Linked DNA regions of Drosophila melanogaster. The protein of the gene in region 1 interacts with the protein of each later gene in a pairwise test. Each region holds a gene or a part of one and is shown on either strand. Other genes may lie near its edges.

What was found. The genes of interacting proteins can lie anywhere in the genome.
Region 2: the proteins of CG31482 (region 1) and CG6293 interact in a two-hybrid assay, tested with the Drosophila melanogaster proteins (one large-scale study listed by BioGRID).
Region 3: the proteins of CG31482 (region 1) and Rad23 interact in a two-hybrid assay, tested with the Drosophila melanogaster proteins (one large-scale study listed by BioGRID).

Annotation. Positions count from the first base shown.
Region 1 is NT_033777.3:6,597,526-6,604,510, reverse strand, and holds CG31482 (uncharacterized protein), read right to left. Parts: upstream 3,270-6,985; 5' UTR 3,202-3,269; coding exon 3,160-3,201; intron 3,102-3,159; coding exon 2,973-3,101; intron 2,916-2,972; coding exon 2,599-2,915; intron 2,546-2,598; coding exon 2,446-2,545; 3' UTR 2,310-2,445; downstream 1-2,309. Other genes in the region: CG1138 (uncharacterized protein), read left to right, coding at 6,575-6,985.
Region 2 is NT_033777.3:10,305,294-10,313,347, forward strand, and holds CG6293 (uncharacterized protein), read right to left. Parts: upstream 6,321-8,054; 5' UTR 6,202-6,320; coding exon 6,169-6,201; intron 5,226-6,168; coding exon 4,606-5,225; intron 4,406-4,605; coding exon 3,889-4,405; intron 3,825-3,888; coding exon 3,273-3,824; 3' UTR 2,513-3,272; downstream 1-2,512. Other genes in the region: Bruce (BIR repeat containing ubiquitin-conjugating enzyme), read right to left, coding at 7,351-7,845, 7,917-8,054.
Region 3 is NC_004353.4:306,111-313,334, forward strand, and holds Rad23 (Rad23), read left to right. Parts: upstream 1-1,982; 5' UTR 1,983-2,113; coding exon 2,114-2,179; intron 2,180-2,302; exon of another isoform or gene 2,303-2,320; coding exon 2,321-2,969; intron 2,970-3,428; coding exon 3,429-3,523; intron 3,524-3,583; coding exon 3,584-3,907; intron 3,908-3,968; coding exon 3,969-4,079; 3' UTR 4,080-4,712; downstream 4,713-7,224. Other genes in the region: Zip102B (Zinc/iron regulated transporter-related protein 102B), read right to left, coding at 6,680-7,188.

The DNA of each region.
Region 1 (6,985 bases):
TTCATGTTCCGGGTACATGCGACATTTTATCCACTCCCATTGGCAATAATTTATATTGAAATGTCAGTGCAACTGCTGCAGTCTCTCAATCTGAATAGAGGGTGTGATTGCATTAGTTGCCAGTACCGCATTTAATATTTGGCCAAAGTTATTACGCGTCGCGAAAAGTAAATTAACTTTTGGCCGCAGTGCTATTTTATTAAAAAGAGAATATTGTAAATGGTCTGAATGGGCCATAGATTTCAGTCTGCCCTTCTCGATTGGTGACACTTGCAACCAACTAGCCCGGGCCCTTTAAGTATCCCTTAGCACGCTATCGATGAAAGTTGGTGGCATCTTTGCGTGCACTTTATAATTAATAACAATTTAGCATGCACTTAATTTTAATTATTACTCAATTAGGTCAGCGCCATTATAATTTAAGCACCCGGCACACTGCAGATAATTAAGAGAGGGCGAAATTAAACAATTTCCAGCCCCGCGAATGAAGTTCTGCCAACGAGACACAACGCTCCGCGACTTGGCTTCGTCCTTTTCCGGAGTGGCGCCTCCGTGTTTCCGTTCTGTCTGTGGGCTAGGTCATTAGGGATGGTTTGTGTGTAAATTTGATTTCACAACATTTTCTCAGTGCGTCGCTCCAACTTTCGGCCTTTACGATGCACATAAATATTACGACCAAGTTCAAGTTGTAAATAGTTGACAAACTCGGCTATCCGTCGAACCCAAACCATAATAGAGTGGTGATGGGGAGCATTTTATAAGTGCCCGAACTAAAGGACATTCGAAAGATAGTTATTCAGCCCTCAAAAGCAAACGCATTAAAGGTATGCATAAAAAATACAGTTTTCCAAATGACACACATTTTTCACACTATTTTCTTTAAGAAGTGTACCAATTTCCAACTTTCAAATCCGTATAGAATTTCTGCTTTCATTACATTTAACACTCAACCAGACGTCAAAGAAATATCTGGGGAACATGCATCCCTAGACGCTGTGATCTATAATTCCATTAATTTTTGTGCAAGGTGTTCCAATTGAAACCGACCAGAGATGGAAGCAATTTGAATGTCATTAGGTGGACCCACGCACGGCGCAGCCACCCAGAAAGCGAGGCTAAGTAAGACACAAACAAAAAGACATTCGACTCCATATCTGATTGAATAATAATGAGTGCTTAAGGATTTAATGCGCTCCCGGCAGCTGCTGAGCCCCAGACATCGACTTCCACTTGGGAACAGACATGTAGGAAACAAAGCTTGAAATAAAATAGCGCTCTAGTTGATTGCACCGACTTATAGATACCCAGTACGTGGTAGGTACCACCCCAAAAGGTGCATAAGTCACCCATTTTGACTTAGTGGTAAAGTAATGTGATATAATTCATAAAAATGATTACAATTTATATAATTTTATAAATATATTAAGCCATCTAAAACTTGTTAAGGATTGAGATAGTAGAAGGGTATAAACAGCCAACCGAGACAGTATACCTAATTCTTTTCCGCCACTTTGTTGACACCGGCATAGTCAATGGGGAATTCCTTTCGGCTGATGCTGATTGCCAAAAAAGATAAAAATAAATGCGGAAAGAAAAAGGCCAGAACAACCCGCGCCTAGTGAAAAAAAAAAACTGAATATCCCTATCGCACGAATTCAAATTAACCCAACATACTCACACGCCCACCAGTGCTGTGTCGTCTTAGATTGGATTTCTATAGCTGTAGTAATAGCTGTTTCAAATAATATAAATTTTAACACATTTTATACCCGTTACTCGTAGAATTAAGTAGAATACACTAGATTCGTTAAAAAGTATGTCAAGGAAGTATGTAGAAGGAAGAGTTTCTGACCGTATAAAGTATATTTATTCTTGATCAGGATCATGTCCGTCTGTCTGGTCGTTCGTATGACCGTCGAAATTTCAGGAATTATATAAGCTATAAGGTTAAGATAAAGCATACAGATTCTAAAGCACAAGTTTGTTCATCCATGCAGCCACGCCTTCCCATTAAATTCTCCAATATCTATCGATATGCCAGAAAATTATGAAATATCACGTTCTCACTGCCAGCAGCTGAGTAACGGGTATTAGATAGTCGGGGAACTCGACTATAACATTCTCTCTTTTTTTTAATTCAAAATATTTCATGCATTTAAATAGTTTTTGTAAATGCCAAACACCCCAGTGTTAAGGCAGCACTCCCCAGTTTCGATCATTAAATATCGTGTGCTGTTTTAATATCTTCCTGGTGAACTACAAGTTGCAAGCAACTAGATAGAATGGTTTTACATAACTAACAATGGCATATTCACCAAACTTCCAAAAAGTGAAATTTATTATTGGGTACAGAGTAGTTTCAAATATCAGTAATTGGTTTTTCAAATTGCTTAACTACAAATTTACAAGAACTGCGGCACAAAAACTTCAAAGTGATAATGACCCTCAATTTGTGAATTGCCAGCATAACCAAAGCATGACTATGATGGGAATATTGTCAACTTGAAATCTATTCAAATTGCCTTGACCATTTTCATCACCTTCCCTGCAATGAAATAAAATGAAAGAAAAAACTACAGATGTAATTAATTTGCTTACCCTTTGATCGGCGGAAGAACATTTTCTTCGAACTGCCCGTTCACATTGACTGGTGGATAATATCTTGCTACCACCCAGTAGTAACCCTTTTTGTCCTTGGCTTGCCCAATACCCATTTTTTTCGCATTCTTCCAAACGAGGGCGGTGAAATGACCCGTTGACATTGCAAACTGTGGCTTTTCAAAGTCGTAGTCCGCGATTTCGTCGTACCAGTCTTGAACACATTGCAGAGGGGTTTGTGACCGCATGCACAAGTTTTCACCATAGTTTTGACCGGCAGAACTTGAATGCTCTAACTTTTCATTATTGGCTAGCACCTGTTCGAGGGTATTAAAAGTGTAAAAAGGTAACATTGTTATTAACCAACGAAATACTTTAGCATATTCTTCGCATCCCTTTGTGAGTTCATCGTCCAAGGTCAGAGGCGGACTTCCATGCTTCTCCCTCAACCGATTGTGTTCATTTAGATGGTCCTCCTGAAGATCAGCTATAACCAACACCAACTAGAATACAGGAGAATAAATCAGATTTCATTTAAAATTACTAAATATTTAATTATACCAAACATAGAGCCAAAACAATCAATATGTTCACCAAAAACATGTTTTTTTGAGAATAACTATAGCACGAAAACTTTGACAAACTTATCTAGGATTCTGATTGCTTTAAAGACCTCGAAATTCTGGTGACGTAATTTAAAAGTTACTTAAATTGTAATTAGTTTGGTGTACCTATAAAGCGTATGGAGGATCCCTTAATTAATACAGTTTTTAGTCCGTGCACTTCTCATGCAGTTTGTATCATTTGTACATGAGTATCGTTCCAAAAATCTACTAAAATATGAAGTTGACTTTAGATTCGGACATAATGCATGGAAAGCTGAGTATCAAAACCAATCTCAAAAGAAACACAAATTAGACGAGGGTTAAATTTTGTTTGTCTACTTAGAAGTCTAACTTTGTGTTAAAGGAGCTGATTATTTTTAAAAATAAACCTATAGTTCTAGTGACTCTTACTGATAGGGGTTTTTCCATATCAAAAAAGTCTAGTTGCCTCAAAACTGATGCTTCCGCGGCAATTTGCTTGTTGTGTTGACAGCTGGCCTGAGGTTTCATGCTTTTTGCATTAGGGTACTGACAGATGACTTCACAGAGACACTGAAAACCAGAACGAGGAAAAGCACAATATTTTTTCGGACATTTTTTAATATATTTTGTATGGCGTATGTTTTAAAACTTATATGCAGTTTTATTTTTGTACACCACTTTTGTTTGGGAAATGCGAATAGAAATTTCTCTGTATCAAACGGGCGAACAGACTTATTGGGGGTGCAGTGTGCAATTATTTTGAGCGAGTAACCGCCACCAGGCCAAAGGATAATGCGATGAGTTCTGATCGCCAGCAACAACGGACCAGCTCCAATGGAGCCACGCCCCAGCCAGATATTAAATTTTCGCTGTTGCTCCATGGAGCTGTGGCAATAAAGGTTTGGCTTTGCCAACCATGTGCGAGGGCACTTTGAGGAGGGACGAGCTCTGGCTCCCACACATGTGGCTGATGCCTTGGGCCATCATCGTTGACAACAATATCAGTGGCTTTCGAAACAGCGGCAGCCGCAGGAGCAAAAAAGCAGCTGGAACACGGACTAGTGGAACTTACTTTGTCCTCTGCGTGGCTTTGGTTTCTGGTTTTTGGCTGTAAAATGTCAATTTGGGCCCGTGACGAAGATTTATTGTGCGCGTGTTTGATAGGCGCGCTTAAATATCCCATTCAGCACACATATTTCCACTATCAATTTCGATGGCACCAGCATGAGCATAATCTGGTTCGTCACTGGTGATGGCACCTCTGCTGTTTTCAAAACTTAGGAATGGAAATGATCAGCGTGAAATCTAGGTTTTGTACGCAACACAAAATCATTCACAAAAATAAGGTTTTTGGTACTATGGGTATTACAGATGATTTCACTGCACTGCAATTTATGCAATTTAAAAATTAAATTTATTCAGGGCTTAACAAATAAGAATACTAGTTTTGTATACATTTAGACCTAAATCCAACAACAATTTCAGTACATTCCGCAGGATATATACGATTGCTGCTTATGAATGCAGAACAGTCGCTAAAAAGCCAACGAGTTGACTCGCTGCCAAGAGCAGCATTTAAATGAAAATGGCAAATTCATGCCACATAATGGTTAAACGACATCAGAAGAGCAACACGCAAAGCGTTTATTTTTTCTGAAATTCCAGGCACGCAAGGACAAGCAGCACACACTCAAAATTGTAAGGGAAAACTTGCAATTTATCCATCCGAGTTGCCTCCTGTCACCGGCACCAAGTTGTCCCACTCCTGCCTGGCCGATAACTCAATAGCGTAGCCCGGGGAGCATTGGCATAACTAAACTAATTTCTTTTAATTCAAACACAGCAACTCCGGCCCAACGGCTCTGTTGGACACTGATGGCCAAATGGCTGGGTGTGAAACTTTTATGTCGCCCCCTGCATGGACCTCCGCCCAGGTGGTCTTACCCACCTCCGGGCTCCTGCTTCCCATTGCCCAGTGCCCATTGCCCAATCCATTTCTCCCTGGCGGCAGCCCTGACCGACATTCGATGAATTGACCAACGCAGCTTGTTATTTTTCGTGTGCAACAGCGCGTTTTATTCGCTCCTGGAGGTTATGTGCCCCTCACCCCGTGGCATCTAGATTCAAATCAGAGATGGCACTTACCTATCCTAAGAAATCTTAAAAAAAAAGGTGAGCCAGCTTATTGTAAGCTACCGATTACCATCATTTACAATCAAATTATGAAACTGTCAATGATTTACCCTAATAAACATAAACAATTTTTATTAAGCCATTTAACTAATGGCTAGATTCGCGGAGTTTCATGGGTGATGTAGACATCCAAAACATGTAACATAAATTGGATTTGTCCTGTCTTTCCTGTATATTTATTGGTATTATTCAAGTTTGGTTTTCCTAGTAATAATCTTACAAACACAGGTTCTCTTTGGCATCACTAAGTGGTGGTGGCTTCCAAAGCCGAGTACAGTTCGCCTTTCTTTTATTTCTGGTCAAAACTTTTGCACTGTTTTCACCAGATTCCGCATTCGGGTAGTTGGACAGCTGACGTCTGTTTTTCACCTGCCAGGACCGCCCCACTCGGGCTCAGAATCGGATCCTCTATTTGTTTGCGTATGGGAATCGCCGGTGTCTGTCCATCTGTCTGTGTCAGTGTTTGTGTGCTCGTGAGTTTTGCGAGCAGGTGTGCGTGAGCTTTCGCTGACAATTGTGATTTTAGCAAAGGGTTTTAATTAGATTTCACTTCATTTTCCGCTGTCATTCAGTGAAAAGGAAAGCTTCTGCCTTCCGCAAAATCTATTCAATAATGTGAGCTTACCCATTGAGTGCACACTGCATCCAAACTCTTCTTACATTTTTGGAGTTCAGAGTGTCTAGAACCTGGCTTAAATAACAACATAAGTATGTATTTTCCTTATAATTGTATTTATATATAAATAAGTTTATGTTTTTGCTATTTTATTTGGGACAGTATAGTATCCCAACTTTTTCCGTCTTCATTTTGGTATTTTAAATTCACATTAAGCAGGCTTTTTGTTAGGATTTGAAATTCCGTGAATGGGAGTTGAGCAAATTTTTCAGTGGATTTTCTTGCCGATAACATTTTTATATATTGCGTATATATCTGCGTTGAAGACTGCATTAGTTGTAGTTAAAACTACAAATTAAGGGACGCTTTGAAAAAGGATATAATAATTGCACGTACCCAACTAAAAGATCGAACAAACCCATAGATAGATCGATATATACGATATTTTATCTAAGCCTTCATTGAGATTTGTGTTAGATGATTTGAAAACACTGGAAGTGCTCGTTGTGTACCGAGTTAGTTTCCGTTTTGAAGTTCACAGTTAATTGGATATTGGTTAATTTGGAGGAATGAATTCAAGATGAATTCATTACCAATACTGCAATCAGTGGACCAAAATTTATCGTGCAAGGCAGCAGGAATAAGTAAAATGGAAAACACTAAACCAAATGATAAGAAACTGGCACAATCAAAGTTCGCATTCAAACATAACGGGCCAAAAAAAGTGTTTCACTGCACGATGCAGAGTGTTTTGCAATCCGAAGATTGCTGGATCGCTGAGGAAGTTCTAGAAGAATCAAACGAGAAAAGCAATCTGGAACTCGAAGATATTTACGATGAGGTGTTTCGCTTAAAGCGGCGCGTAAATCGACTCAATTACCAACTAGGTACCAATATACCGGAATGCCCAAAAATAGATCCCTGCCTGGATGATCATATATTTTTGACAAATGTAAAGGAAGTTCATCCCGAAATTCTTCAGCTGAAGTTT
Region 2 (8,054 bases), 3.7 Mb from region 1:
TAGTCCGGTCATTAAGCCCAAGGAGAAGTCACCGGAAAAGAAACCCAGCAAGGGTTTGCTTTACGCTTTGGGACAGAAGTTTGAGAAACTACGAGACTCCGCCATGAGCAAGGAGAAAAAGGCTGGTTCTACTGGAGCAGCAGCATCTTTGGCCTGCACCCAAAAGCAAGGGTCTCCCGAAGAACGCAGCTCTCCAGAGAAGTATAAGAAGAACGTTTCGGATACAGAGAAGTCCCAACAAACTGGACTCTCCGACGACAAACGGGTGGATAAGCGATCCCGGTTTGACACCATGCTACGCTCTTTAAGAGAGAGATCCGTACCCAGATCACAACCCAATGGAGGCGTGAGTCCCAAGCGAGCTGCCAGTGTGGAGGAGCTGCACGCCGGATGCCCAGAGGGGCAGGGAAAACAAGGCGGAGCAGTTAACAAGATGTTCGGCGGTTTGTTGCGTCGATTTGACAGGGAAAGCAGTGAACAACGCCGGGTGAGAAGCTCCCGATCCACCAGCAACATAGAGCGACAGGTTCGCGAAGAACAGGATCAGCTGCTGGACGCCTCGCTACCAACATCGCCAATCTATCAGAATGTGGTTAAGAGCACAAAAAGCAAAGTCTCTTCAACGGCAAATGGCGAAGAGAATTGCAATTGCGAAACAGCTTGCCCAGATTGCAGGCAAAACAATGGACAGAACGTAACCACCAGCGGTGCTCCAACCAACACAACAATGCCAAGCAGCAAGGAGAAGCGAAAGGGTCTGATGCTTGATCTGGCCAGCGCAAATGTGTCCGCCAGTGGTGCCCCCAGCTCGGTGACCACCGCCACCACAACTACCACAAGTGGAAGCAGCTATCGGGGATCTAAAACCAATCCGGCTTTGATCAATGGAAATGGAGGACTGGGAATGGGCATCTACTCGAATCTGCCACCCTATCCGGGAGCCATGAAAAGTGCCAGCTCCAACAACAGCTCCAGCCAGCAGTCCATGGAGAACGCCACCAACAATAACTCAACAAATACCAATAATAATTGCAGTTCGCAAACTTCTGGCTATAGAACCTCATCGGCACATGAGATTAATCGGAATAATCCGCTCTTGACGCCATCCTTCGAAAACATTGCCAACTACTCCTCGGACTCAAGGAGCTACCAAGATGACTGCGCCTCCACCTCGACTTTCCTATCGCCCACCGAAGAGCCGGAGTTGTATTTTGACAATTGGTCCATATGCTCCGAGGACAACTATATGTTGCACGCGACGCCCTCGCCCACAGTTTCCCGGTTGTCAAGAGCTTCATTGTCCTCGCCCACTCGTTGCTCCGAGAGCTCTGATCCCAACGAGAGTGTGATCGACAGGATTAAACGGCGTAGCTTCTACAGTCGATTCAATGAGCAGAAAAAACCACGACGCACTAGCAGCATAGTCGGACCATCGGCTGTGAGGGACTACTACCGGGAGCAACAAGCGGCAGTTAAGGCGCGCTCCAGTAACAAACTGCATGCTCCGGACATGGATCCACCACCAAGAGCTCATTCACCGGACATAGCCCAGCAGTTCTTTAGACCCCTGAAACTGAGTCCCGTGGGAACGGAGCTAAAGCCCCCTGTTTACCGCTCCACTTTGGACTACTCTGCATCATCGGCGGGGGCCACCAGCAAGCCAAGAAAGAGTCTGAATGACATTAGGAATACCTCGCCCTCTTTCCTCAGCAAACGTTACGAGACCACCGATTACAGTTCGGTGCCAATGCGATACAAGAGCTCCTCCAGTTCGAGTCCAAGTAATGGAGCCATTGCCAGCGGCTATTACAACACCTACAATCCAAAGCGTAGATCTTCGTATACGCTCAATGGTAGTCTGCCTACAGCGACCAGTGGAAGCAGTGCCGCAGGGAGCAGCCACCTGGATGGATACGCCACCCTGGGCAGGAGATCCCTTCGTCCATACGACCATCGAACGATGTCCCTGCTGGAGCCACCGACCTCGAGCAGCAGTCGTAGTGGTGAAGGGGTTTCCTACCAAAGGCGTGAAGCAAGGACACCGGTTAGAGACTACACATCCAGTATTTCGCGGTAAGTTAAATGACTTTCAAGAGGAATTAGTGATTACAACTTGATATGTATTCTAGATCTGGGTCGCGTTACCGCACTTCATCGGCCACTCGCAGTCCAACAAACATTTGATGTACCACACCGCAGAATGGCTTCTGCATCTTCTGCTACTACTCCAAACGGAAGAAGACGAGTCCCGGCCACGGAATCGGAAGTGGGCACGGACATGGCCAGGCCATGAGCACGCCGCCCAATACCACAGCCTCATCGTCATCCTCGCGTGCCAGCAGCGGCGGCACCAAGAAGCAACAGCTTCATCCCGCCCCCATCCAAAACCATCATTACCACCACCCAAATGAACAGCACAAGTTCTAGACTGGAGCCCCGAGGTTCCCTGCGATCCGATCCCAGATCCCCTATACCATAATACCCAATACCAAACTTAGGCATAAAGATTTTTGATAATTTTTTAATGGAACTTAGCCAAAGTTATACTCTAGTGCAGACTTTTGAGCGCTGCCCCTAGTCGTAGGTTTGTTGTAGTTTGGATATAGCGGAGTTTCAGCCATAGATCGTGACTCAATAATGCACATTTGCATACATATATATACGATTTTCAAATGATTGTGCCTTGGTTCCTTCGGTGGTTTTAGATTTAACCAATAGCCATAAAACGTTGATTTTAATCTATAAGTGTGTAAGCGGAACGGAAGCGGAAACAGAAAGGGAAAAAGGGAGACAGGGAGACCGGAAGTAAACAAGAGACGTGTTTCACAATATATGTATATGTATTTTCTATGCTATTTTTGTGAGGATACCTTGCGCCGAAAATGCGTTAAAATTTCTATTATATAAATTTTAACAACAATTTTTTTTTGCATTATACAGAACTGATGGATTGTTTTCAAGATTTGAATAGAGTTTAATAACGACAACTTTCGTTTGCTAGGTCTATTGATGTTATTGCAAAATAATAGAAAATATGCGAGTTGGTAGCGAAACGGAAGAGTGTTAGGTAATCGTAGCAACAAACAATAAGCGAATTTAAAAAGCAAATTAACAGAAACACGGAACAAAAAATAATAGATCTAGAGTTTTGGGTAGCATTCGAATTCGAAGTTCAAATTGTAATTAGAGCGTGAGCACGAAAAGTGTTTTCTAAAAATAAATAAAAACCAAGTCACCAATTGAATGGCTCTTATTTGCATTTTTTCCCACGATCAGCTTTGCTTCTGGAGCTTGTAAGTCGGCATGAACGGAATATAGTAGGTCCACTTCCAACGACGAATGGCATCCATGCCAAGTGGAAAATCGTAGTCGGTGGCTGTGCCATCATTAACATTATCATCGCCCAGGGGCATCTCGTTTGCCCAGTCGATTAGGCCCCTCTCCTCCGGCGTCCCTGGGATTATATTGTCCAGCAAGCATCCCAAAACTCCACCCACGAGAATTGTAGTGCCCAGTAGCACCGATAACGTTGAGTCCACGGTCTTGTTTCCGGTGTCAATAGCTCCAGGGTTCTTCTGCATCCAGCGGCACAATACCATCGGGAAAAATATTGAGAGCCCCAATATGTAAAGATTCCTTGCGGATCGCAGATCCACATACTGCAAGGTGGATAGCCCAAAAGCTATAATCATGCCAAACATCACACAAAAGATTCCGCCCACCACCGAGTCGGGAATGAGAATGAAAATGGCTCCAAACTTTCCAATTACCCCCTGGAGGACCATTATCAAGGCAGCCCACTGTATTACACGTCGGGATCCAATCTAAAATGCAGATATTTATATTTCCATCAACTTCAATTTTAGTGTTCTCTTTTATATAAATTACCTTGGTGACCCCGATGGCGCCAACATTCTCTCCAAAGGTATTGGTTCCATTTCCAGCTCCCCACAGACCGGCGAGGACAGTGCCAAAGCCCTCGGTACCGATCCCGCGATTGATCGCATGGAGCGGAGGCGAGTGGGCGCCGGACATCTGTGACACCGTTGGATAGTAACTAAGTGACTCCACCGTACAGGCAAGTACTCCGGCCAACATGCCAAGCACGCCGGACAGCGTCACCGATGGCCAGCCAAACTGTCCCGGATACGGGACATAGAACCACTTTGCACTGGTCAGCACATTCAGGCGAACATCGGTGCGAGAAGGATGTGACGGAGGAAAGACATCCGTAGCAGTCAGAATTCCGCACAGACCCCACATTATCATGATGGTCAGCAGGACGGGAAAGAGGCGGAACAACTGGAACTGGCGAATTTCCAAGCCGTGACCCTTGCGGTAGGCCAAGATAGGCACGGGAACATTCGACATTATTTGCGAAAAGAGTGTCAGCATTCCAGTGGTTCTATAAAAAAGATTAAAACCCAAAAAACAAATTACCAGGCTATAAAATTTCTAAGAACTTTAAAACATTTATCATAGGTATAGTTTTACTAAGCTTTTTTAATTTGAAACGATATACATTGCCAATCCAGTATTTCGAACGTAATAAAACTAATTAATAACTATTATAACTATCTGGGTATTTCTATCAGTAATACTTACCCCACAGCAATGCCCCAATGCTTGGATGCGGTTTCAGCTGCGTGCTCGAATAGGGTAAGACCCACCAGGGACACAGTGGGTACAATGGTCAATGGAGTTACGTACTTAAGGATTTTTCCCACCAGACCAGTGTAGCCCAGGATAACTTGCACCATGGCGGACACGGCAATAGCGCCGGATAGCTCCCGCATACGCACTTGCCATAGTTCCTCCCGCTCAGCCTCGTCCATGGCATCCATTACGGCTTGCTCCGGGCACTTCCACTGCGGCAGGGCCAAGATGGCAAGGGTGGGCACCAAGAACGATATAGTTCCGCCCTGAACAATGGGCAAACGGACGCCCCACGTGGCCTGGAAGTAGGTAACGATGCCCGTGACGAAGATCATCGTAGAGATGATGATGCCCCGGTTGGCGTCCTCATCGGACATGCACAACGCCGGCGTCAGGATGAAAGGTATGGAAACAATGGCTCCAATCATGGTCAGGTAGTGCTGGAATGCGAGGAAGATGCTCAAGTACCATGGGGGATTATCGTTGATGGCGTAGAGCAGTTGCGGCTTGGGTTTCTCATTACTTGGAGGCGTGTTAGCTGCTTGAGAGTAGGACTTGGAAGCATCTGTCTGGAAATTAATCAATATGCAACATCAAATTATTTTCAACTAAACACTGCTCAAAAGACTACAGTTTTTATTTTATATAAATAGTTTCTTTTTAATTAAACGCCTTTTCCATATAAGCATTTACCTATTTGTAAAAGGATGATCAATGGGCATCGTACAATTTCAATTTGTTACCATCAATTAATTAATAATTGAAAGTAAAATCTTCATCAATATTATTGATCAGTGTAATTATATTTTCTTAATGCAAATATCTATTTGTTTATGCAAATGAGTGGTTTTTAGTATCGGGCATAGAGATATTCTCTCATTTTATTGTATAATTGCAGAGTACTGAAAATTCATTGTTTTATTTATGAGATTTGCTATTAATGTTTTGAATTTATTAACATAACAATATGGCTTAAAACGCCCCATGGGGGGCGGAATTTAATCTTGGCCCGAGTTTGACTGACGGCTCTGGTCTCCAATCGTGATTAATTGAGCGTTAGTATCAGTGCTTCGATCGCTGGCGACGGTTTTTTCTCAGCTTGTTGAGATCAGTGATTTTAATTAGACCATAAATTAATAGCTGATTGGCTGTGGTGGTACTTAATAAATCAGCTTGTTGTCAGCTCATGCATTGCGGACCGAAAGGTATGCGCCGCATAAATATAACAAATCGTTTTGATCGGCAGTTACTTACTGGCGCAGATCGTTGAAAAAATAATTTGTGAATGAACTGTTAATTACTGGGTGTTATCTTAGCGTCTTACCCCTTAAAAACGCATATGTATAACACATCGGCAACAATTAAGTGGGAAATGCAACTGAGTGAAGAAGTGCCTCGCAAAACAAAATCCGATAAAAATCAAAATAGGAACAGATCAATTGGGGGAATTCCTCTTACATAAAATCACGCGTTCAGTTATTATTTGGTTATGCAAAGAAACATTGGACTTACGGCGTCCTCGATGGTAACATTGTTCAGCTCCATGATCAGGCGAGCTCACACTTTATATCCGCCATAAACTAATTGGGCTAACGCACGGGAAAAGACTCCCGAAGAATTCCGCTGTACGTCCGAGCGCGACAAAGCCCCGATACTCAATGGCGTGATCTTTCTATCGAAAATGTTTTATCGCAGAGAGCTGGAAGCCTTCAGTTCAAGAGCATCTGAGCGCACTGGTGCTCTCTAGAATGGTTCTCTACACAGAACAGGGCATAGTGAAAGTAAAATAAATTAACTTGCCAATTCACAACTCATTACAACTCGAGTGCCAAGAAAAATAAGCTACATATTTTAAAAAAATCAGTTTTTACCAAAGTACCTTAAAACATTACCATCTCAGTTGAGCAACCGAAAAAACACCGCAAAGGGATTATAATATTTAATGATTCCCAATTAAAGTGACAAAGTTGGCATCATAAAGATAAACATGCCGAATGTGATAAAGTAGTATATATTATCTTTCTCTTTCGTTAGACGACGAAAATATTTATGATCAGCATTTAGTCCAAATATTTGAAAGCATACTTTTGGGGGAAACAAAATATATCTCGGATTTTATTTCAATTGAAAAATTAACTGTTCATATTCTTGTGTCAATATTTAACTAAATCACTACGTTCATACATAGTTTAATACACATTAATTTAGTTTTGGTGGTTTTTGTTGTTGTAACTGTTTTATAATGGTGATATTTTCATTCTATTCTATACACACACGGATTATTCTTGTAGAAATTGATAGATCCTTTCATATAAGCATTTATAAAAAGTTCGATACAATAATCTCATACATACTTGTATGAAGTGGGATATTCAGTTTGTTTAATGGAAAGATTCTGACAATGCTTTTTTAATGGGAGTGTATGCATTTTGTATGTGTGCACGCCCTCTTCTGCGCAAAGTTCCTTAGCGTAGTTTGTATAACATTAATCATTACGGTTCCATTAAGTAAAGCACACCAAGTTCTGTTGCAGTCTCTCTTACAAAAATTAAATCAAGTAAAGCCATAAAACAAAACTCATGCATATAAATAAAAATGTCTAGGGCAGCGCAGTGCGGTAGGCGAGCAGCATCATTTTATATCCATCTCCAGCATCCTCGGGCAACCAGAGACTATTAGCTCTTCCTTCTCTATCTATTGCCACATACTGCTCTCGTTCTCCGTATCACTTAAAATTTCCACGACCTCTTCCTCGCCCGTCAGCAAACCCTCTTCTTGCGGGAAACCCTTAAAGCCATCGTCCACTTCTCCATCGCCTTCGGCATCGCCATCAGCTTCGCATTCATCCGCATTCTCGCCGAGCAGGGTAATATCGGTCACTATGGCATCATCCGGTTGCGCTTGGACGGTATTTGTGGCTGCTAGTGAAGGAGCCACGGCGGACACATCCATCGGTGGTAGCGTGGCCACAGGATTAAAGGGCGCATCCAAGTCCTCGAGGCCACGTGGCGGCTTCAGTTTCGACAACTCCTCACGCAGGTGGCGATAGTGGCGGCGCAGGACCATTGAGTTGAACGATATAGTGCGACTGGCCCTCTCGGTGTACTGCGGCTTACCGAGTTCCTCGATCCAGCCCTCTATCTGGGCGCAAATCTCCTCTCTCTTCAACCAGAAGTGCTTGTGTATGACCTTTGGTGTTTAATAAGTAATGCTTGTTAAGTACAGCTGGGCATTTATCAAACTTTTCAAATAAAACTTACATCTTTAAAGCACTGACTTGGACTCCGTATTTGCTCCAACATAGCCCACCGCACACAGGCCTGATATATATTGCTATTATATTCTCGCGATGAATTGGTACCACTTGGACTGCCACGACTTCTTTCAAAGCCCGGTTC
Region 3 (7,224 bases), on another chromosome or scaffold:
GTTTTCTTGGCAGATCCCGATATGTCACGGTTAAAAAGAAAGCTAGGAGAGAGTGCACGAAGAAATGAAAATCTGATGCTAACACAAGAAATGAAATTAATTCACATGAATACACTTATTTATTATTATTAATTGATAAGTGGAAAAACAATGCATTCGTGTATTTTTTGTATTATTCTTTGCAAATGTCTAATGCACAAGATTATTATTACAATTAAAAATCTTCAACAGCAAATTTTTATTTTTTGTTTTTATGGTATATACAATTATTTAGAATTAACACATTTGTCATTTTTGAAATTGTATCTTTTAAAATTCTCGATATTTACTACATTTAAACACCCCACTGATGATACAGCAATAGTTATCTTAATTTCGAAATTTTCGTTAATCTTATATGAACTCAAATCATATATGTTCACAAGACAGAAGATAAGCATTGATGTATATCTTTTGAAAGGAATACGGTATTACCAAAGACACTAGAATAACAAGATGCGTAACGGCCATACATTGGTTTGCCCAAAGACCCTAGAATAACAAGATGCGTAACGCCATACGATTTTTTGGCACACGATTTTTTGGCCGTGGCTCTAGAGGTGGCTCCAGGCTCTCTCGAATTTTTGTTTGAGAGCGAGAGAGCGAAGAGCGCTACAGCGAACAGCTCTTTTCAACGCACAAAGTGGTAGGAGACATCTGTATGTGTGCACACGTATGCTCATGCATTGTAAATTTGACAAAATATGCCCTTCACCTCAGAAGTTTTTAGACTTTAAATCTATATTATTTTTGATCAATTGGCACCATGCGAAAAATTCTTGTTTTGCATTGCCTTAACGTTATTATTATTTGAAAATATATCAGAAATAGCCAAATCTATGTACATATTATCACAAAAATAAATTTCAAAAATGACTTTATATAAGAATATTTGTCATTAGAGTATTCATCTTGCGGCGTGTGAAAAATTAATAAGGCAATGATTGTTGAGTGCTTGTGTCCGCACTTCGTGCCTCAAGATATGAACAAAGCATTAGAATTATTCTAGTATATTACTTTGATATTACTTTTGCAATAAACAGTTATCATATTTAATTATTTAGTATATTTATTAAATCATTTGACTTAATATGATGTAACATTAACATTAAAAGTGTTTTAAAAAAATAATTTCTCTTTTAAAAAATTGTCAGATGAGAGACAAATTAGAATTAAACATAAATATAAATGTGTAAACGGTAGCTAATTCGAGCGGCGATTTTAACAAACAAATTTAAAAAGCTTTAAAATTATAATAGTCAGGGCGCGAATTTTTAAAAATTTTTTTATTTTATCATATTGCTAGGAAATTGGCAAAAACTACCCTAATATGTACCATGTAAATTCGTTTCTTCGATCAGAATTGATTTCGGCCCGAAAATCGTCTTCTAGCACAACACGCACACTTATACGCGTTCTCGTCTCTTGTTTTTACTCACACAAGCAATCAAATTATATTTTTAGATTTCTTACGCTCTCAGCGGGAGTGAGCGGAAAGAGAGTAATTTTGGCAGTCACCAAAGAAGTGGCTGCATAGTGCCAAACCAATGTATGGCCGTTACGCATCTTGTTATTCTAGTGTCTTTGGTTAAACTAAAGTATTTTTAAAGAAATACCGAACTACTTAAACGGAATTAAAAATTAAATTTCTTTGAAATTTATTGATCATCAACCGATGGTATATTATAAATAGACTTATATACTACAGGTATAACCTGTATATAGTATGATCTAAATCGTTGATATAATGAAATACTAACTACAGTCAAACCACGGACAATTGTTTATTTGTTACGTTCATTATGACTTCAATATTTCATATTTCATTATAAATTTCATTACAAATCTTTACATCTTTCTTGATGTGTGAAAATGTTATAAGGACTATTGAACTCTTTGGTTTGTGCTGCGATTTTGTGTCTTTTAAGCGAGAAGGTATAATTTGCCAGTCCATGTGCGGTCACACTGATGACAAATCGTTTTTATCAAGCGATATTGGGAACTAACTTTCGAGTTTGCATATGTGTATGCATATGTATATTTAATTAAGTTTTGGTTTTGTCTGATACACAAGATGATTATTACAATTAAAAATCTTCAACAGCAAACTTTTACTATTGAGTTTGCCCCGGAAAAAACGGTATGTGTACAAATAGTCAAATACTAGTATATTCACATGTATGGTATATACAATTATTGCAAATGCATATGTGTGCTTATACAGGTATTTCTTACAATTAATTTGTTGTACCATAATAAGCAGGGATTCTGATTACAAAAGGTTTTGGAACTGAAGAAGAAAATATTCGAGGAGCGCGGTCCAGAGTACGTCGCCGAAAAACAAAAACTGATCTACGCTGGCGTCATATTGACGGATGACCGCACCGTTGGTTCATACAACGTTGATGAAAAAAAGTTCATTGTGGTAATGTTGACACGCGATTCGTCTAGTTCAAATCGTAATCAACTTAGTGTAAAAGAAAGTAATAAATTGACTAGCACCGACGATTCAAAGCAATCTATGCCTTGCGAAGAAGCCAACCATACCAATTCGCCTAGTTCCACAAATACAGAAGATTCAGTTTTATCACGTGAAACCAGACCTTTATCTAGTGACGAATTGATTGGCGAGTTGGCCCAGGCTTCCTTACAATCGCGCGCTGAATCTAATTTGCTTATGGGTGACGAATACAACCAAACAGTCCTATCAATGGTGGAAATGGGTTACCCAAGAGAGCAGGTTGAACGTGCGATGGCTGCTAGTTATAACAACCCGGAAAGAGCCGTTGAATATCTCATTAATGGCATACCTGCAGAGGAAGGTACTTTTTACAATAGGCTGAATGAATCAACGAATCCTAGTCTAATCCCCTCCGGACCGCAACCTGCGTCGGCAACCTCTGCCGAGCGTTCAACAGAATCAAATTCAGGTAACTTGATGGGATTTCAATCAGCAGTCAATTTATGTATTCTTGTATGAAACGAAAATATATAATTTCTACCCAGAAGTACTAAATTTGCACACTTCAAAACATAGTGAAATTAATAAACCCGATTTGGCTCTCGCTCTTTAATGAAATTATACGGCCTTAACATAATTGCGTTAGTTTTCCTGGTCAAGAAATATTGTTGATCAAAACTTATGTTGCACATTCGTTAATAAATAATAAAAGAGTTCTCTTAGTACTGGAAATATATGCAGCTGTTAAAGATTCACTAAAATGTTTGTGAGCTCGTTGTCCCGCAGTATCATTTACATATATATGTCAACAGACACTAAAGGAGCGATAATTCACGAATTTTTGTCACTATTCTCTTCAAGGACAGGGCATCACTATATGTTTTTAGTTAATTTAATTATTATTTAATTATTTATATTTACGTTTCAGACCCCTTTGAATTTTTACGTAGCCAGCCACAGTTTCTTCAAATGCGATCTTTAATTTATCAAAACCCTCATCTTTTGCATGCAGTATTGCAGCAGGTAAGTACACTTATAATAATAATTACATGACACGTAAATGATAATTTTTTTTACGTATAGATTGGTCAGACAAACCCAGCCCTTTTACAACTTATTTCGGAGAACCAAGATGCGTTTCTCAATATGCTTAATCAACCGATTGACCGCGAATCGGAGTCAGGCGCCACCGTTCCTCCCGTTTCGAATGCGCGGATTCCTTCAACTTTGGACAATGTTGACCTCTTTTCTCCAGATTTAGAAGTAGCTACTTCAGCACAAAGATCAGCCGCGGGTACAAGTGCAGCACATCAAAGCGGTAGCGCAGCGGATAACGAAGACTTGGAACAACCTTTAGGAGTATCAACCATTCGTTTAAATCGCCAAGATAAGGACGCAATAGAACGGGTATATAGGAGTGAATAATTATATATGGACTGTCGAGTTACTTAATATATTCTTCTTCTAGCTAAAAGCTCTTGGATTCCCAGAGGCCCTTGTACTGCAAGCGTACTTCGCTTGTGAAAAGAACGAGGAACAAGCAGCTAATTTTTTGCTATCGTCTAGCTTCGATGATTAGGATGACAAAATGTAAGAAGTTATGCAAATAACACCGGAAGCGTTACATTTAAAGTTAGATGTTCTTAAATTAAATGTAAAATGTCGATCATAAAAATTCTTTTATATTCTTTTAATACCGTCGGCGTATTGTACTTGTTATTTGTTAAAAATTGCAGCCATGGGTAAAATAGAGTTACGATGTCATTTTTACTAAATATTTCACCACGACATTGTCTTCAGCATAAGACTGCAAATGTCTACAAATTTATCTGTGCCAATCCATGGTAGGGAGGCCTTGGATTAGGCCTTCACCTAATGGATGGCAAAGTATATTTCTAGTGTGTGTATTTCTAGTGTATATGCAATACACACATTAATTATTTTAAGGTCGTATTAAGCTAAAGAAGTCTTATGATTTATTCTTTCCTTATCTTGGTTGATTTATAAAATATTTTTTTGACTAGTGGGAGTCCACAATTAAGTCACTTAACACATAAAGTACTTTTTGTCGTCCTGGATGTTGGACATATGACTAAAATATATTAATCATTGTATTACATAAATTTCGTGTTTTTTTATTGTAAATAATGTCCGCAATTATGCCCTAATAAGCTGTGGCGTCTCTTTGGTGATTCCTTTCAGGATGAGTCGGAGAAATAAAACAATTTCATTAATTGCATGACATTCATAACAATTCTATAGTCGAGTGCCTCGACTATCAGATACCCTTTACTCACGAAAAAACTAATTAAAATTTTTATAAATATTTTTTATTGCTTATTTTTACAGGAATAAATGTTCTCCAGTTTTACAGTACTTAGATTATCATTAATTTACAAATATACAAAACTGTAGAACATTTGGACTTATGATACTTTTCTGCTTGCCAATTAATACGACAAATATAAAACTCGAACATTGTAATATGCATTATTAATGCAAAGAATTCTACACTTTAATATTAATAAATCTCTAATAGTTTCATGTATGGCTATGGTCCCCTCTATAATGTTGCTACAATTATAAATCTTTCCTGACTCAATGTAGATTCAAAGACACAAGAATTATTGGTAGATTTGGTAGAACGCAGGTAAGTGGAAAGAGAAGCACTCGTTAATACTTCTTTCCTTGACACGTTCCAGAACTTTAGACTGGGTCGAATTAACTTTATAAACATGGGCATACCCACCGGACCACAAATAACGTTATTCTAGTGTCTTTGGTTTGACTGTGTTAATGACAAATCTTTAAGCTCAAAATTGTAGTATAGAAACTCTTTGGTGACCATTGACACGAATAGGACTGCCGACCACAGTGACATACATATAAAGTGAAAACATACACATTTATGTGGAAATGGTCTGGCAACGACGAAAGACAAGCTTCACAGCTTATCTAACGACAAATCAAAAAGTTAGAACGATAGAGTGGTGTTTACACACAAACTACCGGATTGATGTACACTTTCTCATATCGATATGACGCAACCTAGTGATTTTGGAAGTATTAGTAAGATGCTACGCGGTGAAAAGATACAAAATATTATAAGATTGTATATATGTAAAGGGAAAACAATTTATCCTAATTTGAAACAAATCCATGCTACAAGTAATTGAACATTTTACCAAATTTTGTCGATTGTGCCCAAGGAGAAGAGAATCGAGATCAGGTTTCGGAATGGCAACGAAAAGGAATAGTACGCAAGTCGGCGCCGAATTTCGCCAGCAGACTCGTCATAGTCAAAAACAAAGATGGATCAACTTAACGCCATGGTTTAAAAAACTGCCTAAAACTGCAGTCAGCAAAGCTATTTGTCGTCGTGATTTTGGGAAACAGTTTTTTTCACGTTCTAGTAGAAGAGAAGTGCCCATAATACACATCATTTATAGCCAAAGAAGTTTTTAAAGATCTTTGCTAAGATATGATTCATATTTACAAGACAAGACAAGAACAGCGGAAATAAAGAACGCGCGAAAAATATTCCGCAAAGAAGTTGAGCAGAATTAAAGTAGAAAAGACGCAGAAAGGTATCTATAAATGTAGAAAGTCATAGCAGAAGTAGTTATAGAAATCCGTAATCTAAGGCCGTAACAGAAGACGTTATCCAGTAAACCAATGGTGACATTGCCAAGCTGCCTTTAAACCGTCTCTTACTTTTTACTACCATTCTGAGAACGTAAACTATCCATTGTTATTAAATACAATAAAAACATATATAATTATAAATTAACATATAGTATATAGGAGCCGGAGTCAAAATTCTGATGCCAATGAATTCGGCGCCGACTTGCGTACTATTCCTGCCTGCGCAAGTCTAAATATTAAAGTAAAATATTTCTTGCACTACTTTTTGACCTTCCTCATTTTGCTTGGTTTACTCACAATACATTCTCGTATAAGGCCTCTCAAATCACTCAACTTTACAGAAAGCTGACAAAAGTTGACGTCGGTACCAAATTTGACTTTCATGCGACAATTCATTAAATTCAAAATCTTTGTGCAAAGCACTTAATGTTAATAATTGTATATCCGAGAAATTAAACCCAATATATTTATAGCTTAATATCCCTTAACTTTTACTTCATCTTATTTGACAAAAATATATGTATTACTACATTACTAGTGATTATGTCCAAATGTTATAATTAGGGGTAGCAGTGCGCCGCAAATCAGAATTACCAATTCACTATATTTTAGTGCTTGAATACTATTGCTTCCATTTATATCATTCGTAGCAACACCTCGAGATTCCTCTAGCAAACAATAATCATGCTGATCGCTTTTCGTAAATCCCCCTTGGGTAAGCTCTGGTAAAACATGCACAGTTGCTACGTACAAAAATGTTCCAGCGGAGAATAGCATAGCTATACCAGTGGCATTCACGGAATTTAACGTGTCCTTCTGCTCCTGTCCGATCCCAAAATACGTTAAAATAGTCATAAGGGGAGCCGACAGGGAAAATAAGACTAGGTGTCTGCGAATTTGATGTCTGTCTACTTTTTCGTGCAGTAAGAATGTCACTAATCCAAATGCTGCTGGTGCCTTATGAAGCATTATAGCTAAAAATACAATTATCTCAACGTCTTGATGGCTAGTGGTGGCAGCTGCTCCCAATGCAACTCCATCAGCTGCAAAAGAACAACAATTTTTAAGATATGGTGGGT